Linked DNA regions of Ovis aries. The protein of the gene in region 1 interacts with the protein of each later gene in a pairwise test. Links are inferred from orthologs where the notes say so. Each region holds a gene or a part of one and is shown in the gene's direction. Other genes may lie near its edges. The genes, in order: EHMT2, PLOD3 and KLF3.

What was found.
Region 2: the proteins of EHMT2 (region 1) and PLOD3 interact in binary tests that used the Homo sapiens proteins (3 or more experiments, as listed by UniProt). The two-hybrid records come from large-scale screens. The link is inferred for Ovis aries from reciprocal best matches to the Homo sapiens genes EHMT2 and PLOD3.
Region 3: the proteins of EHMT2 (region 1) and KLF3 interact in binary tests that used the Homo sapiens proteins (3 or more experiments, as listed by UniProt). The two-hybrid records come from large-scale screens. The link is inferred for Ovis aries from reciprocal best matches to the Homo sapiens genes EHMT2 and KLF3.

What each region holds. Positions count from the first base shown.
Region 1 is NC_056073.1:26,540,745-26,551,649, forward strand, and holds part of EHMT2 (histone-lysine N-methyltransferase EHMT2), read left to right. Parts: intron 1-115; coding exon 116-200; intron 201-300; coding exon 301-341; intron 342-488; coding exon 489-644; intron 645-2,182; coding exon 2,183-2,320; intron 2,321-2,443; coding exon 2,444-2,558; intron 2,559-2,704; coding exon 2,705-2,806; intron 2,807-3,032; coding exon 3,033-3,181; intron 3,182-3,271; coding exon 3,272-3,415; intron 3,416-3,501; coding exon 3,502-3,737; intron 3,738-3,816; coding exon 3,817-3,999; intron 4,000-4,108; coding exon 4,109-4,191; intron 4,192-4,697; coding exon 4,698-4,804; intron 4,805-4,889; coding exon 4,890-5,012; intron 5,013-5,098; coding exon 5,099-5,200; intron 5,201-5,874; coding exon 5,875-5,979; intron 5,980-6,083; coding exon 6,084-6,238; intron 6,239-6,329; coding exon 6,330-6,497; intron 6,498-7,103; coding exon 7,104-7,248; intron 7,249-7,620; coding exon 7,621-7,698; intron 7,699-8,035; coding exon 8,036-8,151; and 9 more. UniProt on the Homo sapiens protein: Histone methyltransferase that specifically mono- and dimethylates 'Lys-9' of histone H3 (H3K9me1 and H3K9me2, respectively) in euchromatin.
Region 2 is NC_056077.1:35,918,306-35,928,431, forward strand, and holds the end of PLOD3 (multifunctional procollagen lysine hydroxylase and glycosyltransferase LH3), read left to right. Parts: coding exon 1-74; intron 75-204; coding exon 205-317; intron 318-478; coding exon 479-542; intron 543-1,095; coding exon 1,096-1,193; intron 1,194-1,422; coding exon 1,423-1,524; intron 1,525-1,728; coding exon 1,729-1,854; intron 1,855-2,060; coding exon 2,061-2,182; intron 2,183-2,407; coding exon 2,408-2,512; intron 2,513-2,627; coding exon 2,628-2,753; intron 2,754-3,066; coding exon 3,067-3,208; intron 3,209-3,297; coding exon 3,298-3,411; intron 3,412-3,598; coding exon 3,599-3,667; intron 3,668-4,183; coding exon 4,184-4,288; intron 4,289-4,804; coding exon 4,805-4,951; intron 4,952-5,383; coding exon 5,384-5,509; intron 5,510-5,853; coding exon 5,854-6,009; 3' UTR 6,010-6,299; downstream 6,300-10,126. UniProt on the Homo sapiens protein: Multifunctional enzyme that catalyzes a series of essential post-translational modifications on Lys residues in procollagen. Plays a redundant role in catalyzing the formation of hydroxylysine residues in -Xaa-Lys-Gly- sequences in collagens.
Region 3 is NC_056059.1:58,663,349-58,674,253, forward strand, and holds part of KLF3 (Krueppel-like factor 3), read left to right. Parts: exon of another isoform or gene 1-1,512; intron 1,513-4,963; coding exon 4,964-5,450; intron 5,451-6,316; coding exon 6,317-6,467; intron 6,468-10,905. UniProt on the Homo sapiens protein: Binds to the CACCC box of erythroid cell-expressed genes. May play a role in hematopoiesis.

The sequences.
Region 1 (10,905 bases):
GATGGCGTTTCTGAGGTTGTGGCTCACCACCCCGCCCCAACCTGGGGCTCTCAGCTCATCCAAACAGAACCTTAGATGCTCCCTGACCCTAAGTGTGCTCCCTCTTGGCCCCCAGCCCCCAGTCCCTGAGAAGCGGCCCCCTGAAGTGCAGCATTTCCGCATGAGTGATGACGTGCACTCGCTGGGGAAGGTGACCTCAGGTCAGTCCCATCCCCCACCTGCCTGTGGCTTGCTATGGCCTGTGCTGAGGGCTTAGAGTGCCTCGGTCTCACTCCTTTCTCTCTCTCTCTCTCTTTCCAGATGTGGCCAAAAGGAGGAAGCTGAACTCCGGAGGTGGCTTGGTGAGCCGAGAGGGGCTGGGAACAGGGCCTCTCCCCCTGAGGGCTGCTTTGAGGCAGCCCCAGAGCTGGGGTTCCATCTTACCCTCCTGGGAAATGGGTTGGTGAGTGAGTGCCAGCAGCAGCAATTTTTCTTCAATCTTTTTCTAGTCAGAGGAGTTGGCTTCTACGCGGAGTTCAGGAGACGTGACCCTGGAGAAGGGGGACCCGGGGTCCCTTGAGGAGTGGGAAACGGTGGTGGGGGATGACTTCAGCCTCTACTATGATTCCTACTCTGTGGATGAGCGGGTGGACTCTGACAGCAAGGTGAGAGGGAGCCGGCCACGCTCCCAGCCATTCTGCCCCCGCATCCAGGGCTCATTGTCCAGTCTTTCCTGCCCCCCTTTTTCCTCTCTTTCCTTTTCTGAACACCCACTAGTTTCACTGCCCCGTACTATCTATAACTTATTTCCAGTGTGTGCTCTACCCCATACCATCCCCTTGTCCCTCTCCAGTGATAATCACCACCCTGGACTTGGGATTTAACAACCTGTTTTATGGTTTATTTGTTGTTTGCTTGTTTATTCTTTTGCAACATAATGCTTAGTCTTGCCTTTTATTTTTTGTTTGTTTTATCATGGAATCTTTCAGATACACAGAAAAAAATAGAATAGTGAGCCCCCAGGTGGCCATCACCCAGCTTGAAGGATTAGCAATACACTGCAGATCTTGACTCATCTCTTCCTCCCTAATACCCACACCTACTGGATTGGTTCAAAGCAAATAGCCAGGCACCATTTCATTTTATCTAGAAACATTTCCATAAGTCTCTCTAAACATAAGACCTCTTTCTGTTTTCAAAAGATTTACAGATGTTTTGGGGTTTTTTTGGCCGAATCATGTGGCTTACAGGGATCTTAGTTCCCTAGCCAGGGATAGAACCCATGCTTCCTGCAGGGGAAACATGGAGACCTAACCACTGGACCTCCAGGGAAGTTCCTACAAATGATTCTTTAATCCCATCACCTTGCTACCAATAAATCTTCGCATTTTCTCAGTTGTTTCATAAATGGGTTTTCGTTTGTCAAGTTTCAAAAGAGATCCACACATTGATCTGATTATTTGTCTTAGGTTTCTCTTGGTATATAGGTTCCCTGCCTTCTAAAAAAAATATTTTTTTTGCCATTCGTTTGTTAAAGGAACCAAGTCGGTTGTCCTGCAGAATTCTTCACACTTAGGAGTCGGCTGATTGGGAATTGACATGTAATTCTCTGTCCAGTGTTTCTTCCTATAAACTCATAGATCTAGAAGTGTGATCAGACTCAGAGGCATGTTATTTTTCTTTTTAGTTTGGAAGACTTGATAGCAGGTGCTTCCTGTTGTATCATCAGGTGTTGGACATTTGGTCTTTTATTAGTGAAGTTAAGATCAGTGGATTCAGACGATATCACCCTGATTTCATTATGGCATTTCTGATTAGCTTTTCGTGTAGTGTTTTCAGTCTCACGTGTTTATGAACTTCATAGAATCTCATACTATACATTTGTTATCTGGAACAACGACTTTTTTTTTTTCCCTGCTTACTATTATGTTGCAAGATCATCACATTTTTGCATATCACCATAGCACTGTGTTTTTCATTGCTGTATGACACGCCATAGCCCGTCTTTGTACCCAGCCTTTCCTTCCTCTCCTGTCCACAGTCATCTTCACCAGGGAACCATCCTTGGGGATTTATGGTTTTCTTGATCACACCTCCTTCTCTGAGTTCCAGGGGGATGTGTCCTACTCTGCCTCTCTCCCAAGTTCTCCCCAAGAGCGAGCTGTGGCCTGGGGTGGGGGCCACAGCTTTACCTCTCTTCCAGTCTGAGGTTGAAGCTCTGGCTGAACAACTGAGTGAGGAAGAGGAAGAAGAGGAGGAGGAAGAGGAGGAAGAAGAAGAGGAGGAGGAGGAGGAGGAAGAAGAGGAGGAAGATGAAGAGTCCGGCAATCAGTCTGACAGGGTAGGATGGGAGGCCGGCGGCCCCGGAGGAGTGGAGACTGCAGGACCGGAGGTCTGAGTCCTCCAAGGAGGGGGTTACGGACTGGGGGCCACCCGCCACCCTAATGCTCCTCCTCCTGCCCAGAGTGGTTCCAGTGGCCGCCGCAAAGCCAAGAAGAAATGGCGGAAGGACAGCCCGTGGGTGAAGCCATCACGGAAACGGCGGAAACGAGAGCCTCCGAGGGCCAAGGAGCCACGAGGTGAGGAGGCCCCTCTGCTTTGGGGTCCCCTCCTCCAGCCCCCTCCCGGCCCCCAGAAAGCGTGCATGCACACCCACGCTCCGCATGCACCCCCGCGTCCAGGCACCTGTGAGCTCGCACTCTCACTCTCTCTGTCTCTGTGTCAGGAGTGAATGGTGTGGGCTCCTCAGGCCCCAGTGAGTACATGGAGGTCCCTCTGGGGTCCCTGGAGCTGCCCAGCGAGGGGACCCTCTCTCCCAACCACGCTGGTAATTGCCAATTGCCGATTGCCGGGATAGGGAGCCACTAGGGGTGCCCTCAGGGCCAGAGGGGATGGGGAGGAGGGGGACCCCGCTGGAGCTGGGGTGTCCATGACCTGACTTTGGGGGTTCTGGAGCATGGAGGGAAAGTCAGGGTGGGGGTGAGAGGCCCCATGAGGGGTCCTGGTGGGTGAGGGGCTGGGCCGCCCTCAACTCCCTGCTCCCTCTATCCAAGGGGTGTCCAATGACACATCTTCGCTGGAGACAGAACGCGGGTTTGAGGAGCTGCCCCTCTGCAGCTGCCGCATGGAGGCCCCCAAGATAGACCGCATCAGCGAGAGAGCGGGACACAAGTGCATGGCCACGGAGAGCGTGGACGGAGAGGTGGGCCCGGGGCGCTGGCCGGCGAGATGCCAGGGCAGCCGGCCCCGGAGCCCAGCCTCACCTCTTGTCACCCGGCCTCGCCGCCCACAGCTGTCCGGCTGCAACGCTGCCATCCTCAAGCGGGAGACCATGAGACCGTCCAGCCGCGTGGCCCTGATGGTGCTCTGTGAGACCCACCGCGCACGCATGGTCAAACATCACTGCTGCCCCGGCTGTGGCTACTTCTGTACGGCGGTGAGTGACCAGCAGGGCAGCCAGGCGGCATGCCCCACAGGGGCAGGGGCTCCCGGAGCCTGACTGCGTTGTTTCCTTGCCCCTAGGGCACCTTCCTGGAGTGTCACCCTGACTTCCGTGTGGCCCACCGCTTCCACAAGGCCTGTGTGTCCCAGCTAAATGGGATGGTCTTCTGTCCCCACTGTGGGGAGGACGCATCTGAGGCCCAGGAGGTGACCATCCCCCGGGGGGATGGGGTGACCCCACCAGCTGGCACTGCGGCCCCCGCTCCCCCACCCCTGGCCCAGGATGCCCCCGGGAGAGCGGACACTTCCCAGCCCAGGTACTGGCTTCGCCCTTGCCTTCTGTCTCTTCCCTGCGTGGTCCCCATCTGCCCTAGACATTCGCACCTTCTTCCACAGTGCCCGGATGCGGGGGCAGGGGGAGCCTCGGCGTCCACCCTGTGACCCTCTGGCCGACACCATCGACAGCTCAGGGCCCTCCCTAGCCCTGCCCAACGGGGGCTGCCTCTCAGCTGTAGGGCTGCCACCAGGGCCAGGCCGGGAGGCCCTGGAGAAGGCCCTGGTCATCCAGGAGTCGGAGAGGTGAGTAGGGGTTGCACGCGTGGGCGCAGCCGCTGGGACTGGGGCTGGGAGCGTGGATCCGTGGCCCTTGGGACTGGTACTTGAATCTGAGGGCCCCTCTCCCCGGCAGGCGGAAGAAGCTCCGGTTCCACCCCCGGCAGTTGTACCTGTCCGTAAAGCAAGGGGAGCTGCAGAAGGTGATCCTGATGCTGTGTGAGTGTCGCCCTCGCTCATTCAGCAGACCCTACCTGCGCGCTGCTTGTGTGCCCGTCCCTGGGCTCGGAGCCAGGAGGGCAGCCGCGAGGGACATGGTCTTTGCCCTGAAGGACGAGGCTGGTAGGGGACGCAGACACACAGGTCGCCCGTGATGATGGGGACTGTGGTGGCGATAAACGCAGAGGCCCTGGGCCCTATTCTGAGAGCTTATACACTTTCACTCACTTGTATCTTCCCAGTGGAGACTCAGAGCGGTGAATTGGCTTGCCCAGTGCACAGGGTACTGAGGGGCTGGGGCCATTTGAACTTGGGCAGAGCTGGTGCTCTTAACGTCTACTCTCGTGAGGCTGTGCCACGGTGGATGTGAGCACAGGGGAGGCCCAGGAGGCACCCCTGACCAGGCCTGGGGTCCTGAGAAGCCTTCCTGAATGAGATGCCACCCACCCCCACGCTTGCTCACCGCATGTCCCTCCCTCTCCCGGTGTGGTGGGCTCTCCCCACAGTGGACAACTTGGACCCCAACTTCCAGAGTGACCAGCAGAGCAAGCGCACACCCCTGCACGCGGCTGCCCAGAAGGGCTCTGTGGAGATCTGCCATGTGCTGCTACAGGTCAGCGTGGGCCCCACCTGGGACCACAGCACCCCACCCCACCCCACCTCAGCCCCTCCCTGGTGCCAACAGACCTTCCATGCAGGCTGGAGCCAACATCAATGCCGTGGACAAGCAGCAGCGGACGCCGCTGATGGAGGCCGTGGTGAACAACCATCTGGAGGTGGCTCGCTACATGGTGCAGCGCGGGGGCTGCGTCTACAGCAAGGTGCGTGGCCACACAGGCCCAGGCCGGGCTCAGGGGCCGGGCCTGAGGTGCCAGCCTGAGGACTCATCTGCCCGCATCTCCCCCAGGAGGAAGACGGCTCCACCTGCCTCCACCACGCCGCCAAAATTGGGAACCTGGAGATGGTCAGCCTGTTGCTGAGCACAGGACAGGTGGACGTCAACGCCCAGGTCAGCAGCCTGGTCCCCTTTCTCCCTCATCTGACCTCTGACCCTTTCCCTGCATGTCACACTGTTCCAGCCTGTTCCTATCTCTTTTCTCTGCTTCACTTGTATTTCTCTTCATTCTTTTCTGGTTCTTTTTGTTTTTCTTTACCAGTTTTCACTTGCTGCCTTAATGTCTGGAACTGGCCAGTATTAACTCAGTTTTTCACCTGTTGGAGGTGTTTTAGTCTGTGTTCTCCTTGATCTTTGAGCCGTTCCATCCTTTGTCCAGAAGAAGCCCCTTGCCACAGGCTTCTGTGGCTTTGAACTGATCCAGTAGCCTTTGAGAGCATCCTTGTCAGCAGCTGTCCTGCGCCAGACTCAGACTCTACCACTTTCTAAGAAACTCTGATCCCTTTAAGTGGGAAATATTTTTTTGGAGACTACAACAATCTGTGTACCTGAAGGTGGTTATTGCTCTTGGGGTCCCTGCTTCTCTTGGGAGTGGGTAGATCTAGGAAATATTTTTTAGAAAGAGAAAAATTACTTTGCAGTCATGAGCAGTAGACACTATTAGTCCCAGTTTATAGATGAAGACACTGAGACCCAGAGAGCTTGAATACCTGCCCCGGGGCGCCACTGCCTATGGGTGGTGGAGCCGCGACTCTGTGTGAGCAGGGCCCTTCCCTCCCCGCCCCCAGGACAGCGGCGGGTGGACCCCCATCATCTGGGCTGCAGAGCATAAGCACATAGAAGTGATCCGCATGCTTCTGACACGGGGCGCGGATGTCACTCTCACCGACAACGTGAGTGAAGGGTTGGTGGGGATGCCGGAGGCGGGCTCAGTCCTGCCCTGCACCTGAGCTAGCTGCCGGCTGGGCTCAAGCCTCACCCCCTTCCGCCTCCACAGGAGGAGAACATCTGCCTGCACTGGGCCTCCTTCACCGGCAGCGCTGCCATCGCCGAGGTCCTCCTGAACGCCCGCTGTGACCTCCATGCTGTCAATTACCATGGGGACACACCCCTGCACATTGCGGCCCGGGAGAGCTACCACGACTGCGTGCTGTGAGCCCCCCGCCCCCGCACACACACCCCCACACACGCCTCTGCCACCTCTCACGGCCAGGTGCCCCACAGGTTCCCTGTCCCCTCCCAGGTTGTTCCTGTCACGTGGGGCGAACCCTGAGCTGCGGAACAAGGAAGGGGACACGGCGTGGGACCTGACCCCCGAGCGCTCCGACGTGTGGTTTGCCCTCCAGCTCAACCGCAAGCTCCGGCTCGGGGTGGGGAATCGGGCCATCCGCACGGAGAAGATAATTTGCCGGTGAGCCTGGGCTCTCTACGCACACAGAGCCCCCTCCCCAGGCCCCTTGGAGCCTCGGAATCCCCAGAACCACCTCCGTCCCCCCTGCAACATACACAGCTAGGGTTGGCAGATACAGCAAATAAAGGTAGACATCTGGCTAAATTAGAATTTCAGGTGAGCAACGCATACTTTTTTAATGTTTAAGAGTGTTCTGAGCAATATATTTGGGACATGAAAGTGAAAGTGTTAGTCACTCAGTCCTGTCCAACTTTGTGACTTCGTGAACTATAGCCTGCCAGGCTCCTCTGTCCAGGGGATTCTCCAGGCAAGAATACTGGACTGGGTTGCCATGCCCTCCTCCAGGAGATCTTGCCAACCCAGGGTTCGAACCCAGGTCTCCCGCATTGCAGGTGGATTCTTTACTGTCTGAGTCACCAGGGAAGCGCTGTACTAAAAAAGTTATTTCCTGATTATCTGATCTGAAATTTAGATTTTTAACAAAGTGTCCTGCCTTTGACCTGGTACCCCCAGAACACCCTCTCCCCTCCCCCAGCCCTCTCCTTGCTCCTAGGGAAGCCCTCACCCCATGCTCTAGCCACCCAGCTCCATCTCCCCTCCTGCCAGGGACGTGGCTCGGGGCTATGAGAACGTCCCCATCCCTTGTGTCAATGGTGTGGACGGGGAGCCCTGCCCCGAGGATTACAAGTACATCTCAGAGAACTGCGAGACGTCCACCATGAACATTGACCGCAACATCACCCACCTACAGGTGAGTGTGGGGCCCTGGGACCAACTCCCACAGGGGCACCCAGAGCCACCAAGTGGAGCCGGGCAGGTTGTGGGCCAACAAGGGCGCCTGGCCAAGGTGGTGGGGCTGAAAGGGACCTCTGGTGTGGGCTTGTATCCACCTGGGGAAGGGGACCTTTTTCTAGGACACATGAAGGTGTCGCATGGGCTCAAGGTGGCCCTAGAGATACCCCTGTCAGCAGCATCTTGATTCCCCCGCATCCTGGGACCATTACCACCACTGCCTTACAGTGTGAACCCTACAGAAAGGACAGCAGTTGGGGGGGCTTGAGGGGGTAAGCCGAGGTGTCTGGGCCGATTCTGAGGGCTGAGCTGACCCTACCTCCCGCCCCAGCACTGCACGTGTGTGGATGACTGCTCCAGCTCCAACTGCCTGTGTGGCCAGCTCAGCATCCGCTGTTGGTATGACAAGGTGCGTGCCCTGGCCATCTGCCCATCCACTCCTCCGGAGCTGGCCTCTGACACCAACCCTGTGGGGCCTCGTCCCTTGCCTTCTGTCCTGTGGGGAAAGTAGCAGAGAGAGCAGGGCGAGACCCAGGACTCCTAGGACGTTGCCAAGCCAGAGACGTGGTATACGCAGATCAAGGGCGATGGTTGTGGGTTTCCTGTTGGATGAACTCAGAGTATACGTGGCCTCCCTGAGTCTGGGGTGGGGTCAGTGGTGGATTTTTCGGTGAAGTCTTGGGAGTCCTGGGCAGCTGAGGGGAGCATCACACAAAAACCACTGTCCTCCTCTCCCTCGACCCCAGGATGGGCGGCTGCTCCAGGAATTTAATAAGATCGAGCCCCCGCTGATTTTTGAGTGTAACCAGGCATGCTCCTGCTGGAGAAACTGCAAGAACAGAGTCGTCCAGAGCGGCATCAAGTGAGTCCCTGCCCCTCGGCCCTCCTCATCCCCCTTTCTCCCTTCTCTCCTTTGGGAAGCTTCCACGTCACCCCCCTCAATACCATCCTCTCTCCCACCACCAGGGTGCGACTGCAGCTCTACCGAACAGCCAAGATGGGTTGGGGGGTCCGTGCCCTGCAGACCATTCCCCAGGGTACCTTCATTTGCGAGTGAGTGGTTGAGGGGGAGGGGTACTCTGGCTCTTGGGGGCAAAGGGCTGGGTGTGGGGCCATGGCTGACTCCCAGGCATCCCTCTCTGCTCTCCTCCCTAATGGGTCCACCTGGCCAGCCTCCTCTGACCGCCATCCCCGAGCCTCCACTCTGCCCAGGCCACAGGGCCTGCGTCTTTCCCTCCCCATCAGTGTCTTTCTGAGCCTCACACTCCCTCTCCCCTGCCCTTCTCAACTGGGGAAAGCCCCAGTTTTAACAGACCAGGGTTTAAGCCCCATTCTGCCACTGGGAGTCCTCGGCCAAGTTCACAACCACTTTGAGCCTCCTCCTTCTTGTCTGCAAAATGGAGGTGATAACAACTACCCTTCTGTCCACCTCCTCAAGGGCCTCGGGCCTGTCCGTCTGCCAGTTCTTTCTCTTCCCAGCATCTATAACTTCTCCATGTCGCCCAGCTTTTACCTCATGGTCTTCAAACTTAATCTTCTTTGGCTTAAAAAAAAAAAGTCATTCAGCCCTATGTGGCTATTTAAGAAACCATTCATTTTTCCTCCATCATGTCATCTCTCAGTTTGACTCAGATAAGCGGCCTCTTCCTGCTAGGTCTGTTTCACCCCCATCCACTCCCTGCTCATCCCTGCCCAGATCTGCCTTTGTCCTCTCCCTCTGCTTCCTCTCGTCAGTCCACACACCCCGACCCCTGTGTCTCAGTCTGCATTCTCCTGGCATCTGCCACCCCCTTAGCTCTGGCTCCCATGACACTACCCTTACCCGCAACTCATCCTTTCTTCCTCTTCACCAGCTCCTCTCCCTCTGTTTTCCAAACGTGAGTGCTTCCTCCCCAGCTCTTCAGAGCTCCTGGGGCTGCATCCCTTCCTGCAGTTCTCACCTCTCTCCTGTCCTCAGCCCGACCTTGCCCCACCTGCTGGGTGATTTCCTCATCCTCCCCACGTCCACACCTGAACAGATTCCCCACCCAGGCCCACTGCCAAGATGCTCATCCCTTCACCCCAGAGGTTCGGCATTTCCCTGCTGCCCCGAATCATCCTCTGGTGCAGCTTGACCCTTCCCTTTAGCTTCCCCACCGCTGCTACCCCAATGGCCCCACACTTCTCACCCCTGCCCCACACTGTCGGTCCTGCCTGTTGGTCTAGCTGTCCCGGGGGGACCCCAACTGCCCAGAGTTTGTCCTATGTGTACTCTCACATGTCTGCGTCCCCAGGCTCCTCTTCCTGATCCCCCTTCTGGATGGGGACCTCCCACCCCCTCCCTGCCAGGTCATGTCTCCTATCCTTGGGTCACCCACCCCAGCCATGTGGATCTGTGAGATTCACAGACAGTGACTAGGGCAGCTGACAAACGGTGGAAGAGGACTCCCAGGCTGTGGGGAGAGGCAGGGCCTGGAGCCTACTTCCAGTAACTCCCTGCTCACCTCCAGAACCACCACTTCCTGCCCAACAGGTATGTCGGAGAACTGATCTCTGATGCCGAGGCTGATGTGAGAGAGGACGATTCTTATCTCTTCGACCTGGACAATAAGGTGGGCAGGAGACCCCCTTGCCCTCCTCCTCTCAAGCAGCAGATGGAAACCTGGGGAGGAGGGACCAGGTGATCAGTGGGGCAAGGAGGTTGGCCAGCCAGCAGGGTGGTGGTAGATGTGATGAGTGATGCTCCCCCCTCAGGATGGAGAGGTGTACTGCATCGATGCCCGTTACTACGGCAACATCAGCCGGTTCATCAACCACTTGTGTGACCCCAACATCATCCCCGTCCGGGTCTTCATGCTGCACCAGGACCTGAGATTTCCACGCATCGCCTTCTTCAGTTCCCGAGACATCCGGGCCGGGGAGGAGCTGGGGTGAGGCCTCCTGAGGCTCAGCCAGGGGTGTGGGAGATGTAGCAAGCCCCAGACCAAAAGCAGAAGGCTGGCAAGTGCCTGGTTTCCAGGCATAGATTAGAGCAGAGCCTCTCTGAAGTCACTGTAGACAGTCCTGGACCTCACGGAGTTTGAGTTAGTAGGTTTGGGGTGGGTCGTGAGAGCCTTCACTTCTAACAAGCTCCCGGCATTGCCAGGGCATTTGAACCTAGGAGGGCTTAGAGCCCCTCTGAAGATGGGAGTGGGTGCTCTGGAGTGGGTCTGGACTCCACAAATCTCTTGTGCTCCTCTGACAGGTTTGACTATGGTGACCGCTTCTGGGACATCAAAAGCAAGTACTTCACCTGCCAGTGTGGCTCTGAGAAGTGCAAGCACTCGGCTGAGGCCATTGCCCTGGAGCAGAGCCGCCTGGCCCGCCTGGACCCACACCCTGAGCTGCTGCCTGAGCTCAGCTCCCTGCCCCCCGTCAACCCCTGAGATCGGACCACAGCTGCTGTCCCACCCCTGGACGGCCACCAGCTCCGTAGCTACTTCTGCCGCTTGCCCACAGCCCACGCCTGGGGGCTTTTACCGTCTCCTCTCTCCCTTACCTCTTCACACATTCACAGCCAGCTCCCAGCCAGGCCCTGGAGGTCTGACAGCCCCTGTCTCCCAGAGCTGGTTCTTTCCTGGGAGGGTGACTTCAGGGC
Region 2 (10,126 bases), on another chromosome or scaffold:
CTGCTGGCCTGAGTGGGGCTTAGCAGAGCAGTACCCTGAGGTGGGCACAGGGAAGCGCTTCCTCAACTCTGGTGGTGAGTGGCAGAGGGTCCAGCAGTGGTGGGGAATGGAGTGTCCCAGGTGCTTGAGGGCGGGCGAGGGAGTGGGGACCGGCCCTGGGACACTGGGGAGTCTGGGAGTCAGCGCATCCTCTCCCCCTGCCAGGATTCATCGGCTTCGCCCCCACCATCCACCAAATCGTCCGCCAGTGGAAGTACAAAGATGACGATGACGATCAGCTCTTCTACACTCGGCTCTACCTGGACCCAGGACTGAGGGTAGGGAGAGGCCGAGAAGGGCCCCCATCCCCGCAGCTCTGGGGGGTGGCAGGCCCTAAGGAAAGGAGTCAAGAGGCTTTCAGAAAGACACAGAGAGGAAAGAGTGGGAAGAGATGTCTCAGCTCCTCTTTAATTCACTGCCCCTACCTCATCCCATCCAGGAGAAACTCGGCCTTAGTCTGGATCATAAATCGCGGATATTTCAGAACCTCAACGGGGCTTTAGGTGAGGAGACAGCAATGAGAAAAGGGACGATGAGAGAGGCTGTTAGGGATCCTGAATGTGGGCGGGGCTCCTGGTAGATCAGGGGTGAACTTCAGCTCACCTCTGTGTTAACTTCAGCAAAAGTCTGAATGGCCCACAGAATAAGGTGCACTCTGCTACCAGGAATAGCAGCAGCCCCTGTTGTACACGTCCATTGCTACGTGCCAGGCTCTGGGTCAGGGTTTTCCTTCTTGAATTTCATTGAACATAACAATCCTATGAAAGGCGGTCTGTGATTACCCACTGGTTACATATGGGGAAACCACCTCCCTGCGGGGCCAGAGACTTCCCCGGGGGGCACAGGTAGTAAGTGATGGGGCTCCCCAGGTGGCAGCAGCCTGGCCAGTGCCCTCAGAGAGAGACGTTATCCCATCCCTGCCCCATGGACCACGGTCCTTCATCCTCTAGAACACCTGGGTACCCCCACCACCACCACCTCCACTGTATTTAGAAGCACCTGCTGATTGGCAGTTTCTAGAGTAAGGGAGTCTAAAGCCTGGACTTTCTTCCCCAGATGAGGTGGTTTTAAAGTTTGGTCGGAATCGAGTGCGTATCCGGAATGTGGCCTACGACACGCTTCCTGTTGTAGTCCATGGGAACGGTCCCACGAAGGTGCTCCAATCGCTTCTCCCCTCAGCCCAGCCCCTGCCCCAGTCAGTCCTGATCCCACAGCCCCCCAGTTTCCTCCAGGCCTTCCGAGCCGTGAGACCTCCCCGGCCCCGGAAGCGCAGGAGCTGGAAGAGGTTCTCTGTGCCCACGCTCCCCCTGCCCTTCTCCGGTCCCTGCCCCCACCTCCCTCACCCCTGGCCCCACCTCAGCTTCTCACCGCCTCTCCCAACAGCTCCAGCTGAATTACCTGGGAAACTACGTCCCCAACGGCTGGACTCCTGAAGGAGGCTGTGGCTTCTGTAACCAGGACCGGAGGCCACTCCCGGGGGGGCAGGTGAGGAGGGGGTGCCAGGGTGGGTGGGAGAGTGCTCTGAAGCAGAGGGTACCAGGAGGGTGCTGGGCAGTAGGGGTGGAGGCAAAGCCCCTGGAGATCCCCCCGCCTCCCCACCCTCCACTAAACTTGGCAGGGTGCGGAGGACAAACTGGGTAGGGGAGCTGGGCTTTCCTCTGAGACCTGTCACATTGTTGAATCTTCCAGCCTCCCCCCCGGGTACTTCTGGCTGTGTTTGTGGAACAACCTACCCCGTTCCTGCCCCGCTTCCTCCAGCGGCTGCTGCTCCTGGACTACCCCCCCGACAGGGTCACGCTCTTCCTGCACAACAACGTGAGACACCCCGACTGCCAGCCTCTCCCTCCCAAGGGACCTCCCCACCCCTGCTGCCCAGATCAGACTTCTCCCCACAGCCCAGACTCCTTCCTGTAGCCTTTCCTCCTGCAGGAAGTGTTCCTCCCGCCCCGTCCTGTCCCTTAGATGCCACCTTTCTGCCCTCCCGGCGTCCCCACTCTAGTCTCTTCTCCCCGCACCTCCAGGAGGTGTACCACGAGCCCCACATCGATGACTCCTGGCCCCAGCTCCAGGACCACTTCTCTGCTGTGAAGCTGGTGGGGCCCGAGGAAGCCCTGACCCCAGGAGAGGCCAGGGACATGGCCATGTGAGTGAGCCTCGGGCGGGGCGCCTGCACCGTTCCCTCCCTTCCCCTGCTCCCCACGGTCTTTTTTTCCTCCCTCCTGACTTCCAGCTGGTCAGCTTCCTTCTACTCCCTTTCCCTCCTCTCTCTTCCACGGGTTGCGGGTCAGGGGAGTTCCACCCCCTACCCAGCCCCCGCCCCCCCCCCCACCTGCTCCTGTTCATCTGTGTTTTGGTCTGTTCCCTCCAGGGACATCTGCCGGCAGGACCCCAAGTGTGAATTCTACTTCAGCCTGGACGCTGACACCGTCATCACCAACCCGCAGACCCTGCGCATCCTCATTGAAGCAAACAGGTCTCTCTCACCGGGCTTGGCCAGAGGGCCCCCAGATTAGTCCCCAGGGAACCTCACCTCCCGCTCTGGCCATGGGGCTTGCCTCCTCCCTGCCCTCATCTGCGCTTGTCCACAGGAAGGTCATAGCGCCTATGCTGTCTCGCCATGGGAAGCTGTGGTCTAACTTCTGGGGGGCCCTGAGCCCCGACGAGTACTACGCGCGCTCGGAGGACTACGTGGAGCTGGTGCAGAGGAAGCGAGTGTGAGTCTTGCAGCCTCCCCCAACCCAGGAGCCCTCCCAGACCCCTCCATCCTGCCCCAAAGGCCCGAACTCGGGGGCCCCATGTGGCCACCACGAAGGCGTGCTGGGTTGTGGGGTAGCTAAGGACTGATGGTGGAGCCGGGTGTGAGAGGGTTGTGACCAGCAGGGCTTCCCTGGGGAAGCAAGAGGGACCTCGCAGCTCTCAGCTGCCGAGGGAAGGGGCTCCAGGGGTGAACTGGGCAGGACGGTGGGGGGGGGCAGGGGGCCGCCCGCAGGGGGCACCCACCTAGCTGACCCCTGTGTGGGCCTCCAGGGGCGTGTGGAACGTGCCCTACATATCCCAGGCCTACGTGATCCGTGGGGAGACCCTGAGGATGGAGCTACCCCAGCGGGAGGTGTTCTCGGGCAGCGACACCGACCCAGACATGGCCTTCTGTAAGAGCCTTCGGGACAAGGTGAGGGGGCCTGGGGCTCCTGGTGGGGGCGCTGGGGGGCAGCACGCTGGCTCCCCATCGCCCTCCTTACACCCTCTGCCCACTGCCAGGGCATCTTCCTCCACCTCAGCAATCAGCATGAATTTGGCCGCCTCCTGGCCACCTCCCGGTATGACACGGACCACCTGCACCCTGACCTCTGGCAGATCTTTGACAACCCCCTGGTGAGTCGGCAGCCCCTGGCTCAGATGGTTCGGGCCTTCCCTGAAGGGGAATGCCACGCCCCGGCCCCATCACACGCGCGTGCGCACTGGGCAGGGTCGCCTGCCGCCTGGGCAGGGGTCCTCCCAGGTGGGAGCAAGTGGTGTGAAGAGGGCAAAGGTCAAGGAGCACCCCCCCACTCTCCCCTAGGACTGGAAGGAGCAGTATATTCACGAGAACTACAGTCGGGCCCTGGAAGGGGAGGGGCTCGTGGAACAGGTGAGCCCCGCTCAGGACCCCGGCCCAAGGGGATGGCCGCTGCCCCTGGGGCCCACCACCTGGATGAGGGGTTCTCCCAGGGTCCTTGCCCAGGTGCCTGGGGGTTTTCTGCTCAGGCAAGACAAAGGCAAGGGCTGAGTTGATAGGCATGCAGCCCCCAGCCCAACATTCATCCCAGTGGTCCTCCCTTGTCCGTTGGGTGTGTTGGTGTATGGGTGAAATGACATTTTTTAAAACGAGGTTGAAAACCACTGTCCCAGAACCCAGGGCTCCAGCAACCGTGCTGTCTGTGCCGAGTTCTGAGCACTGCTCTCACCTTCTCTGGCCGCATCGGTCCCCTTCCTGACTCCCCCGACCAGCCCATCCCCACGCTCAGCTGCCCGTCCCTCCACGTTCTCTCCTGTCCTGGCTTACCTTTCTGCTCCCTGCTTTCTGTCTCCTCCCACTGGCTGCCTGTCCCCTTCTGGAGCATCACCCAGCCCTGTTTTCTTCTTCCCCTGCCCCGTCCTGACTCAGCCCTGCCCAGACGTGTACTGGTTTCCTCTCCTGTCTGAGCAAATGTGCGATGAGCTGGTGGAGGAAATGGAACACTACGGCCAGTGGTCAGGAGGCCGGCATGAGGTGAGGGGCCTGGACCGCGGAGGAGGGGGCCCCCAGGAGGAGGGAGGGGGCATTTCCCTGATTGAGGGAAAATGGAATCTGGAGAGTGGGAACAGAGAGGGGGTCCCCGAGCAGGAAAAGGCAGACAGGGGGCACCTCTGTATTCTTTCATTCCACCGTGCATTCAAGAAATACTCCCTGGGCAGGTCCTTAGACACCAGCCCCTGACCTGGACGTGCAGGTGGAGCTCTGCCCTCCACAGCCCCACCTGCCGTCAGTAGCAGCAGGGAGCTAGCTTCTGAAGTCTGTGATGGACAGCCTCAGTGCTGCGGGAGTCACAGGTGGGAAACTTGACCCAGATGCGGGGGGACCGAGGGCTTCACAGAAGAGGTGACATCTTCGCTGAGACTTAGAGGAAGGAGGTGTGAGTCAGCTAAGACGTGGCGGAGACTTCCAGAAGGAGGGAGCGCAGACTTCCAAGGCCTGGGAGCAAGAGGAGGAGAAGTTGGCACCACTGCGTCAGCTCTGTACCCACAGGACTCTAGGCTGGCGGGAGGCTACGAGAACGTGCCCACTGTGGACATCCACATGAAACAGGTGGGCTACGAGGACCAGTGGCTACAGCTCCTGAGGACGTATGTGGGACCCATGACCGAGAGCCTGTTCCCCGGCTACCACACCAAGGTGGGCCACTGCACGCCACCCCTGCTCCCTCCTCCGCCTTCCCACACCTGTGCTGGCTGGACGGCTCCACACAATGCCTTTTGGCCTGTGAAACATTTAAATAGGCCCCATAGAGTGAGATCCGGGCTCCCCTGGTGGCTCAGATGGTAAAGAAGCCGCTTGTGATGCAGGAGACCTGGGTGGATCCCTGGGTCGGGTGGATCCCTGGGTCGGGAAGATCCCCTGGAGGCGAGCACGGCAGCCCACTCCAGTGTTCTTGTCTGGAGAATCCCATGGACAGAGGAGCCTGGCAGGCTGCAGTCCATGGGGTCGCAAAGAGTCAAACACACAGAGTGAGACCTTGCAGGAGGGAAGCTCTGGGGGAGCAGCCCCCAGGGAGCAGTGAGAACCCTCCCGGCCATCCCCCCAGCCTCTCCTCCCCTGTGCCCGCAGACCCGGGCGGTGATGAACTTCGTGGTCCGCTACCGACCGGATGAGCAGCCCTCTCTGCGGCCGCATCACGACTCATCCACCTTCACCCTCAATGTCGCCCTCAACCACAAGGGCCTGGATTATGAGGTGAGTCCCTACCCTCCACTCAGGGTTCCCCCGGGCCCCTCCACACACACAGACACACACGCACTCCCCTCCCCCAGGCCCTGTGTCCAGCCCCCTCACAGGCACGGTCACCTCCCTGCCCCTTGTCTGCCCTCGTCACATCTCCCAGTGACCTCTGGGGTCATATTCTGGACCCCTTCTGGGCTGGCTACCCCCTGTGTCCTGTGTCCCCCATCTGCCGATGCTCACCCCTCTTGTCCCCTCCCTCCCTGATGCCCAGTTTGGCCTCTCTCGCCTCGGGGCAGCTCACCACCCAGTCCCCACGTCTGCGCACTCTCCAGCCCCTTCCCCTCTCGTCTCTCCAGGGAGGTGGATGCCGCTTCCTGCGCTACGACTGTGTGATCTCGTCCCCCAGGAAGGGCTGGGGGCTCCTGCACCCGGGCCGTCTCACCCACTACCATGAGGGGCTGCCCACCACTCGGGGCACCCGCTACATCATGGTGTCCTTTGTCGACCCCTGACACTCAGCCACTCTGCCCAGCCTTCCGTGCCATCGTGCCTTCCCGCGCCCTGCCTCCTGGGGCGGGGTGGGTGTGGACTCCTCGCCTCCTGGGTATATGGGGTCTGTGTGCCTGGGACTGAATGTGTCGCCTCGCTGCCCACCACACGGCCCTCAGGAAGCTCAGGGAGCCCCCTGTCCTGTTCCCCGGTCCCCAAGGGCTCATGGGGACAGGACCTCTGGGGGTTCGCTACATGATAAATTATTGTTTCTCAGTCTCCCTCTCAATAAAGGAGGGTTTGTAATTCTTGAGCCCATTTATTGTTTCATTACCTGTGGACCCCTTGTCCATCCCACCACCCAGGGCAGAGGGGACACCGAGGGTGACCCCAAAGGAGAACTGAAAAGGAGAAATGACAGAAACGTGATATTAGAGCAGAGTGGGAATCTAGAAGCTTCCTTGTCATTCCAGAGCTCGGGAGGGGTGTGTTGGAGGCCAGACCCAGAGAAGGACTTCCCCTGTCAGGATGAGATGAGAGGCCCCCACTCCCGCACAGCCCCCAAACTGTCGTCCCCTATTCTCTCCTCACCTGATGGCATCTTCTCCCATGCAGAAAGGATGAGAGAGGCACAGCCCTGAGCTAGGGTCCAGGGATAGTGCTGGGACACGCATTGTAGGAGGGAAGACAGGGTGGAAACTTATTGAGAGCGCTTGGACCTCAGCTTTTAGTCACATGGTATCAGGAGAGGGGAATCTGGAGGGTGAACCCAAGAAAGCTTCCTGGAAGAAGGGGAAGGGAAGCAGCCTTGAAAAAAAAAAAAAGACCTCCTAGAGCTGGTTTTGCCTCTAGTCTCAAGCATCAAAAGCTTGCAGAGACCCCTGGAGGTACCCTGAGGACAGCAGAGCAGGCCCCTTTAGCCTGGTCCTCCCCAGCCTTACACCAGCTGCCTTCCTGTGTTGATCTCCCAATGTTCCCTGGCGGACGCCTTTTAAAAATCAAGCACCTGTCCTAGGACATTTCCAGCTTCTAACAGTCCACTTGCATCCACAGCTAAATTGTCCTTCCTTCCTCCTACCCAGATTCCCAGGAAAACTTCATGCATGAAACCATCCTTCCATCCTTCCTGGACCCCTGGGTGGGTCACCTTCCCACGTGGACTGAGCGTCTCTCTGGCTAGACTCTAAAGTTCATCTCACCCAGGCCCCCACCACCCTCATCACTTGCCCTGTGATGCGAGTGGGCTGAGCAGGGATAGGAGGAAATATCCCTCTTAACAGAAGGTCCCTGGTCAGTGAAGCTGCATAGGTGTGAGGCCAAGGACAGGGGCAGAAAGGGTGTGTCAGCCTAAGCCTATCCTGTCTCCACCCTTCATTCACAGAGCGTCTCCCATGCGCTGGGCACCCATCTTGACGGCTGCAGTGATGAGCACAATTTTTCTGTTGCTCACGGTGTGTGGGAGACTTTGATCAGAAAATTGCCATGATGGGAGACTTGCCTGGTGGTCCAGTGGTTAAGACTTTGCCTTCCAATGCAGTGGGTGTGGCTTTGATCCCGGACTGGGGAGCTAGGATCCCACATGCCTTATGGTCAAAAAAGCAGAATGTAAACAATAAAAGCAACATTGTAACAAATTCAATGAGGACCGTAAAAATGGTCCACGTTAAAAATCATGGTGATGGAGAGAAAGTATTCTGTGCCAGGAGAGAATGTGATGCGTGACAGAGGCTTCTGACAGTTGCGTGTCAGACTTCCGTAAAAGAAGTGACATTTAACGTGGCTCAGGACTTCCCTGGTGGTCCAGTAGTTAAGAATCCACCTTACAATGCAGGGGATGCTGGTTCGATCCCTGGTCGGAGAACTAAGATCCCACATGCCACAGAGAAACTAAGCCCATGCAGCTCAACCCCTGGCTCCTCTGGACGGGGAACTCTTGTGCCAGAACTATAGAGTCTGTGTGCTGGAATGAAAGGTCCTGCTTAACACAGCCAAATGAATAAATTAAAAGATAAAGAAGTGACATTCAAAAAAAAAAAAAAAAAGACATGTCCTACCAGTGAGGAGGGTCAAGATGTAGGGGTGGGGAAATCAGCATCATCATAAAATACTGAGTTTAAGATGGGCTCAAGGATGTTTGTCCAAGATGGGAAATAGCGCCAACATGTTGTAGGAACTAGAAACGAGAAGTGACCTTTAGGGACTTCCTTGGCCAGTCAGTGGCTACGACTCCCTCTCCCCAGTGCAGGGGGTCAGGGTTCAATCCCTGGTTGGGGACCTAAGATCTCACAGGCTGCACTGTGTGGCCAAGAATTTTTTAAAAGAAAAGTAATCTTTAAAAATTGTATCAAAATGTTTTAAAAAGATTTTTAAAGTGACATTCTAGGAATTCCTTGTAGGTCCAGTGGTTAGGACTGCCCTCTTATGGCCAAGGGCCCAGATTCAATCCCTGGTCACAAGGCAAGGCGCAGACAAAAAAAATAATTAATTTAAAAAGGTGTCAGTCCCTGACCTGGAAAAAGTGGTTGCTCTGCAGCCTCTAGCCATGTTGAACAGGGCCATAGTCACAGTGAGGACTGGCCCGGCCGGCATGGATGGAGTGCTCACAGCCCAGGGGGCTCGCACTTGCAGGGGCTCCCCAACCCTTAGCCTTTCCCATAAAACCCTTCCCTCCAGAGGTCTCCCCACAGAGGCCTAAGTTGCTCCTCAGGGAGTAAATCCTCCTGCAGGTCCTCTAACCAACAGGGGCCAGGCCTGGGTGACAAATGGGGAGTCCTGCTGTGGAGGGTACACACACACACGGCAACTTCCACTGGCCCAGGACGCTGCCAGTGTGCTCATCACAGGGAGCCAGTCCTGACCTCCACAAAGTCCAAACACCTTCCTCACCGCCAGACTCCAAGCCATGTCCCTGGTCTCCCCTTTCGGCCCTATTGATCCCAACCCTGTGAACCCAAAGAGCTGGTTAACCCTCCCTTTCCAGAGCTCATGATGGTCCACTGTGCAGGTCAGCAGAGGGAGCAGAAAAGAGGGCAGAGCCCAGGTCAGGGGTCAGAGCCAGGGGTTGGGCCAGAAGACAGAAAGCTTCAGAGCCGCAGTGGCTCCTGTGTGACTCCCCTCTACAGAAGGCCAGCCGCCTCCACCGGCCTCCAGGTGAGTGCCCTCCTGCGATGGATCGTCTCCGTTTTGGAGCTTGGTGAGTCCCTGAAGCCCTAAGGACCCCTGGGTCTGGCTCTCTGTTTCCCGATGCCAAGGTGGGAGGGAGGCGAGGCTGGGATCTCTTGCCAGGGCTGGGGGGGTTCCTTCAAGAGATGAGAAAGATGTAGGTTGGACAGATGTACCTGAAACGATGGAACAGGGAAGGGGGTTAAGGGGAGAGCTTGGACTTAAACCTCTGGAGTCAGAGTCCTCACACCCCTTCCCATCACCTCCAGCCCAGGAGTGCATGACTGCCTTATTCCTTGTACTCCTGAGCCAGGCTTGGATCCTAGAATTCACTACCTGGATGGGCTCTATGGAGACAGAAATACACCTTGGGCAGGAGGCCGTGGCTGTGCCTGGGTCCCCAACTGGGCCACGTGGAGACATTTCTGGGACCACCTCCCCATCTCGCTGAGGCACTGTGGAGCTCTGTGCTGGGTGGGAGCTGGGCTTCAGGGTAGACCCTGGTCCCAGGGTAGACCTCTGGGGCCGTCACCCCCAAAGTCCAAACTTAGAAGCCCCAAACTGGTGTGCACCCTGTGTCCGCAGCTGGAGGCACCACAGTGTTGGGTCCCTCCTACAACTACCTCTTGGTGGAACCTTCAGCACCTTCAGCACACAGACCAACGGCTTCTCCCTCCTCATCCCTGGCCTCGAGCCCCACCTGCTCCAGCTGCCCCATCCCGGCCATCTTCCTGTCTTCCGGGACTACATCCTGTGTGCTGGTGAGCAGGGGAGCCCTGGGTCTCAGGACCCCCAGTCCCTGCGGTCACCTCCTCCCTGCCCTCCTTAGCCTCTGGGGGTGCCTGGTCCCAGCTGCATCTCCCAGTGCCTTCCTCCCTCTTTTCAGGAGGACTCAGATGTCAGTCTTCAGGCCTCTAACTGCACTGAGAGGTGAAGGTCCATGTTTGGGACCTGAAATTCTGGCAGCCAGCCTTGTCC
Region 3 (10,905 bases), on another chromosome or scaffold:
TCCTTCATGCTCTAGTTTTCAAGTTCTGCTGATGCTTATAGAATTTAATTATATTGTTTCACCAAAATAGAGTTCCAGGCCTTACAATGAAGTTTCTTTGTTTCCACTCTTAAATCTTCACATTTTATCTTTCCTACCTTCATAGGGGAAGTATATGAAATCTGATTTATTGTTCCTTTATTCCTTTTCTCTTTTTCATTCTGCCTTTGACCTAAAAGGTTGAGGTCTTTGTTTATTCAGGTCAGTGTTCTAAACATGAAGCAGTAACATGTAAGATTGGTTTTTGCTTCAATTCCACATATGAATAAAAATATTTGACTCTGATGTACTCCCCTCTCTCACCCCTTTTCCCTAAAAGAAAAGAAGAGTAAAAATAATCTGCCTAGTTGGTATTTTGCTATAATTTAGAGAAAGTGAGGAAATGTCATTTTTCTCTTACTGAAGTATAAACCTTCATACTGTTCACTAAACCTTGTGCCTTGAGGCAGACTAGACTTTGGATTGTCGATCCTATTAAGATTTGCAAGAAGGGGGAGCAGAGTACCACCCACCCCCCCCATTCTGTGCTGTAGATCTCTGCTACTTACTGTCAATGTGTTGCTGGCAAAGCTATCAGAAGCTCCCTGAGTCTCCAATTTTTTTTCTTATTTATAAAATTGGAGATACTTATATGTAAAACATGAAATGGCAGGTGTATATAAAATGAACATGTAAAGGAGTTGTTTTTACCAGTACTGCCAAAGAGGTTGAAAACTAGAATTTAATTCAGGAAATGAGAAAATAAAAATTTTTAAAGTATCCCTTCATATTCTTCTGTTCCTAAAGGAAGATTACTTCTGAAGAAAGTGTATTTTTTTCTTTAATGAAAATTATCATCTAACAGACTCCTTACAGATTAAGAAGTACTTAAAATCGGTAGTCCCTCTGCCGGGTTCTAACAGAAACTTTTCATGACTTTTCTGAGCCTGGTAGAAAGAGAGCTTTCTACTTTTGTTTGCACAGAGGGGCATGACATTTGCTGTTTCCAAAGAGCTTGTTTATAAATGCACCGCGCCTTCCTGCACTTGGAACTCCACCCTTGGTATGAAGATTCCTTTGACTTGCCATCGCCCTGTCACGGACGGTCGCATTTTTTTTTTTCATATTAATGAATAGTGAAACAGAGACTCACCCACGTTTCATGCAGTCACTCCATCCACTTAAACCATCTTGTAATGGAAAACTTCACCAAAACTATTTCCAATAAAATGAGAAACTATTAATTCTCACTTTCATAGGAAGTGATAGCATTGGAAAATTATCTAAACCCTGTGCCTTTTTCCTCATCATACTTAAAAAAATTTTTTTTTTTTGTTTTTGAGAATCAAAAAATCATTATGCTGAGCCTGGTCAGTGGTAAAAACTTGCTCAGAGAGCGTGTTGATTCACACCATCCATTCACCCAGTGTTCTCTGAGCACTTGGGCTGGACCATCATCTCCCACTCCACTGACACTTAAATAACCCACGACAAGTAAGTAACCCAGGGCACGGAGGTGTGAACACTTGAATGCATGTTACCACAGAGGGAAAGAACCCTTCTTAATAGCAGACCTTTTGGCAAAGTAACCCCCTTGCTGCCCTTAGTGGGGGTGAGGAGTGGAGGAAACCTCTGCTTGAGTCGGTAGGGCCATGGATGCCCAGCAGGGGCCAGAGGACCTCTTTCTGCTTCATCACTATTTGTAGCTGATGTGGATTTTGCTGGTGCAGGCACACTTATTTGCATTGCTTCATTAGAACACAGGAATGCTCTGGAACAGAGAGGAAGCAACTATTACCAGTGTGTATCCACCCAAGGCACACACCCCAGGCAAGCCCTGTGTCAGTCCTTCTGCTGCGGAGAACCAGACTGTTGCAAGCTGATTGCATGGCTTATGTGCTCCACCCAAATGATTAAAGTGAACATGCCTCATAGAAGGTTCTGGTAAACATTGCTGTGAAATTTGCTAGTGAGACAGTTTGAAGAACCACATTTCTTCACCCTCAGGCGAAGCAGTCAGACCAGAAATAGTTAACACTGGACTTAGTTGTGTACCCCTGCACACAAAACAGCCCCCCTGCTTTTAGCCCTGGAGCCTTCCAAAGACCACATGTCCAGGGGACAGGAGGCATTCACAGGAGGGAAGACTCTCAGCAAAACTGTGCAAATGTGCATAATTTATAAAATTCAGCTCTGTGTGGCTGTTTCTTTATGGCTTGAGAAACCTGAGACGGTTATTAAGTTTGCAAATCCCCCAGGTTCTAAATTCCTGCTTTCCTTAAACTCACCCCACAGATAGAAAAATCCAGCAATGACAGCAAGAAACGTTTGTCCTCCTCTTGCTTCCTATGTAGTGGCCAATAACTTGGTATTAAAATCTAGGTCATAGGGGTGTCTTTGAAGACTAGGGCTGAAAATAAGGGAGAAGCTACATTTCTGTGAGTAGAAACAATGAACACTGCCTCCCATTTCCTGGAGTTTTTGTTTCTTGTACCAGAACTTTTGCCCTTTAGAAAATTATATCAAGCTGGCTAAACTTTAGAACTAGGAGAAATCTTTTTTACTCCTGTAGTTAATTACTTCCTGAAGCCCTCATTGTACATAATGTGTAATTTCTGTTCACAAACCTTGTGCCTCTTGCTTTTGCCTATTTTAATATTTCAATTTAAATCTATTGCATATTAATATTACTGTATATTTTGAGCCTCTCACCTTGTGTTGCACCTATGTGTGTCTTATTCTAAAGAACGGTAGAAGTAGTCTTCATTTGATGTTTGATACATAATTCAAAACTGTTTTTAAAAACAACAATTTGTTTTGTGTTTCCTGATTTTATATCCTCATATTCTTGTTTTTAAGCAGTATTATTAGTGAAAATTCTCCCTCCCCACGTTTAAACTGCATTTAAATAATTTACCAAATGTTAGTAATAAAAATTAGTGTTTTTATTCTATATCTCATCTAGAGCCCTGCTAGTCTAAGGCCAATATATGGCACCTTGAGTCATTCCCCAGTAACTCAGAATCTGCATTTTAACAAGATTCCCAGGTGAATCTGTGTGCTTAGTAAAGTCTGAAGAATACCTGATACAATCAAAGCCCACTGAAGTAAACACCTGTTGTATACAGCAGGAAGAAAAGACTCCGGGACCCCAGTGTGTGTTAAGTTCATCTCATAGGCATCTCATTGAGTCCAATTCTAATCTTAACGTCATAGCCTCCTAGAAGATGAGTATCCAGTACCTCCTTGACAGGTTTTGACATATCCTCATGACACTTGCATGTCTAATATTTATATAGTAATTTTTCTTGCCTTCTTTTATAGAACTGCTTTTGAACATAATAAAGTTATTTTGAAAGTGCAGGAATGGGATTTTAAAGCAGCACGGATGAGTCGGATGCATAGCCAGGTGGAGATTCACCCGATGAGGCCCAGAGAAGAAAGGGTGTGATCTCAGTACTAATCCCAGTCAAAACCACTGCTGTCTCACAGTTATTAATAACTCATATTACTGGCCACTGAAGGGGCCAGGGAGGTTCAGAAATTAATAGTGCATTTAAGCGGTTTAATTATAAGTTCCCATTAGTGGGTCTTCTCAGTTGCATTGTGAGCTAGTGTTGCTTCAGAATCACAAATGCATTGAATTTTAGAGCCAGGAGAGAGGCACAGTATGTTATTTTTCACCCTTACTATAAAGCATTCAAATATAAGTAATCCTCTGCAGGCAGACTTGACATGTTACCACTGAAAACATGTTCCCCTAAAATGCATGCAAGTAAAGGGTTTATGTTGAGTTTAATTTTTTTTTAGGCATTCTACAACAGACTTTAAATGTTTCTTAAGGAATAGAAGTAATTTTAATGAATTCCATGGCCAAGGACAGTACCCATAGTGGGCAATTACAATTGATTTAGATTTCAACCTGGTAAATGAGAGTTACATTATCTTGATATTGTAAGAAAGGAATGTATTTGAAGACAAATTAAGTCAGTTATGAACAGATCTTAGATTTGGGAGGGGACTAATTATCTCACCTCCAGTATCTTCTTAGGTTATCCCCCAGTCTCTTGATGAGGGAGTAGCAAGGAGGAAAGGTGAGAAGGCAAAGCCTCAGCTTGTATGCAAGTCCCTTCCAACATCACGTGTCCTTATTTAAGTCCTTATTTGCTCTTATAGTTCTGTGTCATCCTCGGATTTGGAGATTAAGTCATCTTCTGCAGTGTCTCAAATTGTAAATAAATCGTTGAACAAGTCGGGGCCAAGAACATAATCACCTTTGTGTGGGTGGCCTTCTGTATATAAGTGTGTGCGGTGACTAGCCATCCTGAGTTGCATGATACTGAGGCATTTCCTCAGATGTCGTACATTTAGCACTAAAGCCAGGATTCGTGGTCACCTTGGCATGGATTGGTCAGTGGCTGGAGAGCATCCCAAGGCACTACCACGTGGCTCTGTTTGTCCACGTTATCCACAAGCATATGGGAAATGTTCTGTGTCTTTATGCTCAGGTGGAGCACGCTAAAGCCAAGGAGGGTATTTCCTACCAATTAAGAAACCCCATCAGAAAAGCAATAAGGTTCCTTGGCTTGGCTGGTTCTTGGTGAATCCCAACTCCCAATGATAAGGCCCATAAGCCTTTTATAACCTGTTTTAGAATTTTTCCAGGCGTCATCATCAATCTTAACATTGGATATGGCTATCACTGTAGAATTAAACTTGAGATTTTTTTTGTCTGTGACATAGTTACCATGTTAACTTTAGTGCCTACATTTATTAGATCAACTCTTTCATGGTATTTGTGTGTGTGTGTGTCAAGCATATATCTAAATCCAAACCATTTATGAAAGTCCATGTAACTGAATGTGCCTTGTTGTGTATTTTCATCTTATTTCGTGTTTCAAGCAAACACACCTGTCCATTGATACGTTTCTGTGTTTTCTAATAGTCATACCCGTCTAATTACATGGAGTCAATGAAGCCCAACAAGTACGGCGTCATCTACTCCACGCCATTGTCGGATAAGTTCTTCCAGACGCCGGAAGGCCTGTCTCACGGGATGCAGATGGAGCCGGTGGACCTCACAGTCAACAAGCGGAGCTCGCCGCCCTCCGCCGGGAACTCTCCGTCCGCCCTGAAGTTCCAGCCCTCGCATAGGCGAGCCTCGCCTGGGCTTAGCCTGTCCTCCTCCAGCCCGCCCGGGAAGAAGTACTCGCCGCCACCGCCCGGTGTGCAGCCCTTCAGCGTGCCGCTGTCCATGCCGCCGGTGATGGCCGCAGCCCTGTCCCGCCACGGCATCCGGAGCCCGGGCATTCTGCCCGTCATCCAGCCCGTCGTCGTGCAGCCTGTCCCCTTCATGTACACCAGCCACCTCCAGCAGCCGCTCATGGTCTCCTTGTCGGAGGAGATGGAAAATTCCAGTAGTAGCATGCAAGGTACCTTTCTGTTCTGCAGCTCACCCACACTGCTACCGCCCCCGCCAGGAATCCGGACTTGTAGGTCTTCACTACCAGGGAGTCTGATTAAGGGAGCAGAGGAAGCAAGGGGCCAAGAGCTGCTGTACTCTGCAAAGGAAATATTCGACTGAGAGGCTGCCTAAGGCATTTCCTTTTTCTAAGTGTTGATCCTGGAAGAGCTCCCAAGAATCAGGCTGTCTGTTTAATGCCATGAAACGATTAGTTTCACTATGTACTTGTCAACTTCGGGATAACAAGAATCTTGACTTTACATTTTGCTTTATTGAATGCCAGCATGGTTCTAGGTACAAAAGGCTCCTAAGAAATATTTTTAGTCCAGGGCTCCCCAGCCTCCAGGATATAATGCCTGATGATCTGAGGTGGAGCTGACATAATAATAGAAATAAAGTATGTGATAAATGTAATGGGCTTGATTCACCCACACCCAACACCCCCCACCCCAGTCCATGGAAAAACTGTCTTCCACAGAACCAGTCCCTGGTGCCACAAAGATTGGAGATGGCTGCTTTAGACCATGTGATAGCTAATTGCTGTTAAAAACCAGCTTGTTTACTGATTGGTCAGAGGCAGCAGGTTGTTGTAAAAGGAGATAACCAAAAGTCATAAGGAAGAAGTCCCCTGGGGGCTATGTCTTAAAAGTCCAACTTCCTACATAGTGTTTGGTAACAAAGTAAGAATTTCACCCCCAGGTTCATTTCTGCTATCATTTTGCCAAAAGTAGATACTCACACATCAGTGTGGTAGCTAGAAGCTGTGGGATAAGCTTTTAAAGGCTGACATTGGTAAAGTGTACATAGAGTAACTTCTCTATTTTTATTTTTTAGTACCTGTAATTGAATCATATGAGAAGCCTATATTGCAGAAAAAAATTAAAATAGAACCTGGGATCGAACCACAGAGGACAGATTATTATCCCGAAGAAATGTCACCCCCTTTAATGAACTCAGTGTCCCCCCCGCAAGCATTGTTGCAAGAGTAAGTATACTGAGGTCTGCCCGGCAATTGCATAGCAGCGTGCATCTCGGAACTGGAATGGAAGCACGAGCTTCCGGCGAGGGATGTGGTGTGGATTCCTAGGACCGCCTGGTCGTTTGGGGCAGCCCCTGGGTCAGATGGAATCTCTCCAGAATCAATGTGCTCTGTTCAACTCCTTGTGTCACTTTTCAGTAAATCGGTCACCCTACAGTTTGCCAACTTTACCCCTTAAATCATTTTTATCCTGTTTTTTTTCTGTCCTTCCAGACTATGTGTATATAGTTCTCCCATCATCTTTATCCCAATGTGGATTGGATTTGGTGTTCTAGATACCCCACTTAAGGTTGGATCCTGAAAACTTTATGGGATCACTCATGGTCCTTCCCGTTGTCAGTTCTCATAAAGCACACTGTTTCTGTGATGGGATATGGCTTTGATCAAAATTTTCAGGCCAACCACAAAGCCCGGGAAAGATTCTCCAAAACCCAGTCCGATGGCAACAGAAAGTAGACGATGTTGCTCAGAGAAGCTTCTCCAGTCTTTTTCATTATGTGTGCCCTAGAATGTTTGGTCTGCTTTAGAAATGCCATCTAGTAGAAAGTTTACACGGTATCCATCAGTATCCAGGCACCTGAACAGTGGTTTAACTTGCTGTCATGTGAGGGTGTCACACACAGGCTAAATAACATCATTATTGTGGTTTGCACTATCCTTGACTTCTCCCAAGGTTTACACTGGGGGCTGAGCTTGCAGTAGGTACAGACATCGTCTTTGGGCCCAACATCTTTGATCCCAGCTCTACTCTCCACCATATGTGTGACCTTGGCCTAGCCACTTAGTCTTTTGCCCCTGCTCTCTCTTTATTTACATTATTGGTTATAATTATTTTTTCTTATGTTATAGTCCTTTCAACATTGAGTTTAAGGACCAGCTGCCTAGTACAGAGGAAGTACAACAGTTATTGTCTCCTCAGACTCCCTTCTATTACTTCCTTCCCATATCACTTTTTCTCCAGCTTTTCTGCCCCCCTTTCTACTTTATCTTTTGCATTCTTCTCTCCCTTTCATGACAAGTTCTGTAACAGAATATGAATTATCTGGTTTTAGAACAGCTATTTTCTGGAACTTCAAATAAATTCTGGTTGTATCTACATTCAGTCCAAGTAGGTGCATTCATAATAGCTCATGGGTTAATTATCATTTGAACCAACTCAGTTTGGTTTTTTTTTTTGGAGGGGGGGAGAGTTCATCCACTCCCTGATACATGAGAAGAAGAAAATGAATCTTCTGCCCCAGCTGCACCAGTAGGGAGACCCTCTGATGGTCTTTTCATTGTTACCCTTCACAATTGCATAGCACTCCTTTCCCACAAAATTTAAAAAAAAGAAAAAGAAAAAAAGGAACTTTTCCAAGTGTTTTCAAAGGAGTTATTTCATTCTCCCAAAACAAGCATGTGGGAGTCAGAGCAAATAGAGAACTGATGAGCCAAGACATGGTGAGTCTCCTGTAATCACACCATTAACAGCAGCAGAGGGGACCTGGGCTGATCTCCTTCCAGCTGTGCGCTCTTCCTGCCATGTTTAGATCATATCTAGCCAGTTGCATCTGCTTCTGTACTTGAGTGACAGGAAAAACTGACCAACCAAAATGGGCGGCTTCCCTGGTGGCTCAGTGGTTAAGAATCCACCTGCAATATAGGAGACATGGGTTGGATCCCTGGGTTAGGAAGATCCCCTGGAGGAGGAAATAGCAACCCACTCCTCTTGCCTGAAAATCCCATGGACAGAGGAGCCTGGTGGGCTACAATTTATGGGGTCACAAAGAGTCAGACACAATTTAGTGACTAAACAACAACAGCAAACCAAAATGGACACAGCTGAATTGCCTCTTTTTTAGAATGACATATGTCTCTGCAAGGTAACGGGTAACATGGCTTAGCACTTGTAATTGTTCATAAACAGATGATAAAAAAGATGCTCTAAAGCCATCTACTCACAAAGGGAGGGGTCCATTGATTATAAGGGGTTATTCCAAAGTATAGGTTATTATGAATTTACAATGTAACACATTTCAGAAGAAGAATATTGGAATACGCCTTCAAATATTCTTGCTCCGAATGCTGCTGAAAGCATCTCTTTTTTAAAGTAATGTTCTTTTGATGATCTCAAGTTAAATGGCTTTTAATGATTAATGGGTAATGTGCTTCTTCTAATGCTGATCGAAGAATGCATTTTGCCTCTCAGAAAATTGAACAGAGTAGCCACAACTGGAACATGCACTCTTCAAGTAATTCTCTCACAGATGTGATTAAGTAATGTCTTGGAGTATGCCCAGTAGCAGCCCACATAGGAAACCAGCTAGCCAGGAAAGAATCACTGGAAACCAAATGCCTGGTACCATTTCAATGAGGCAGCGCCAATATTTGCCTTAGGAAGCCATTTCTTTTCAGGGGAGGACTACAGCTTTGAAATCCATTTTGCTTAATCATAAAGTTGTAGCTTTAGAATTATTCATAAAGTCACTCAGATTCCTTTTGTTTTTTATTTACATGTATGAAAGTGTATTTAGAACAAAATCTTGAAGATCAGATTTCCCCATTGAGTTGTGTACATGAAATTGTAGCAAACTTCACAGGGATGAGCTTGGACTTCCGCGATGGTCCAGTGGTTAAGAACCTGCCTGCCAATGTAGGGGACACAGGTTCGATCCCTGGTCCAGGAAGATTCCACATGCTTCATGGCAGCTAAGCCTGTGGGCCATAACTACTGAGCCCACAAACCGTAGAGCCCAGGTTCCACAATAAGAAAAGCCACCTCAGTGAGAAAGCTCTTGTACCACACCTAGAGAGCAACCCTCATTCTGTGCCTGGAGAAAGCCTGTGAAGACCCAGTGCAGCCATGAATAAACAGTGGAAAAATAAAACAGAGGGATCAGCTTAATTCAAAACAATGACCAGGTCTCTGGTATTTACTAGATATTCTAACTTCTTACTTATAAAGATATCAAAACAACCTCCTTAAAAATAAGCCATGAAGAGAGCAAGGATGAATGAAATCCCAAGATCCTGAGCCTCAACCTGTACCAATGTCTGGCCCTCTCAAGATGGACTGCTGACCCCTCTCGAGAGTATTACTGCCCTCCGATGCTGCCAGCATCTCTGGACCCTGGAGTAGAGATTCACGGTCTGGTGTTAGGACATCCCCCCAAAATTCCTCAAGACTAGACAACTGTAAAGACGAAGTTTACAAGTGGATTTCTGAACCTTGAAATAGCAACAGCTACCGTTGAGCAGATTTTTCATCTGGACCAAGTGTTAAGTGCTTTGTGTGTGTCACTCACAGCAGCGTTCTGAGATCCTATTAATATACCCATTTTATAGAGAGGAAACTGAGGCACAGAGTGTAACTACCTTGCCAGGGGTCTACCATCAGTGGTAGAGCTGGGATTTAGAGCTGAAGTTCACAGCCTTTTAGGGTACCTTTTTTGAGGCTGACATTTTCACAAAGTGAGTAACTGAAGCAGTGATCATAATTACTACCCAGAAACTATTAGATTCCCAACCTTTAAAATCTAATAACTGGGAGAGACTTCTGAACTCATCTGGGATTCTCTCCCAGTGTCCCAGAAGCACATAAGATACATTTAACTGTTCCTATTTTTCCTTCAGCACTTTATTTCCGAAAGTTCTCTTAAGATGAAAAGTTTCAGTCAGTGACATTAAAGTTGAAATTTTAAAGTAAACTGATAAACTTTTTTTATTGAAGGATCTTAATAGTGGACTTTTATTTAAAAAAAAAAATACTGTCCATAAATCTCTTCACTTATCTATTTTCTCCATTACTTATACATTTATATAACTGAAGTCCTTGTTCCCTACCCCACCCCCACCCTCCACTAGTTCATGCTCACTTTTCCATGTATCTAGACTGGCTAAACTTCATTCTTCGGTATTGTCCCTCTAAGCATCAGGGTAGGAATGTAAAGTGATACTCAAAACTGACAGTTTTAAAAAAAATAGAAGAAAATACAGTTTTCTTTGCTAATAATTGAGAAGTAAGGTCACTCGATAAAATGAACCTTTTTATTCTCTTCCTAGTCACTTCTTTGGGTGCCTGAAAAAGTTGTTGATAAGATATGTATTTATTAACATATTTTTACCAAGATAAATGAGTTTTATTTCAGGAACTAAGTCTTTATTTTCCTTTCCACCAGTCTTTCCTCCATACCCCAGCCCCCCGCCTGTGTTCTTGTATAACATTTTAAGAAATTTAGATTCACATTTAAAAGGAAAAGAAGTCTTTTGTCCCAGTTAGAGACCAACTACATAAGCTTGTAATGTATCAAGTAATTAGTCATTAGGGAAGCGAATGGACAGATTAGAACTTGTTAATTACTTACATCAATCAGCAGGAGAAGCTTGAGAAAACTACAGATTTTTC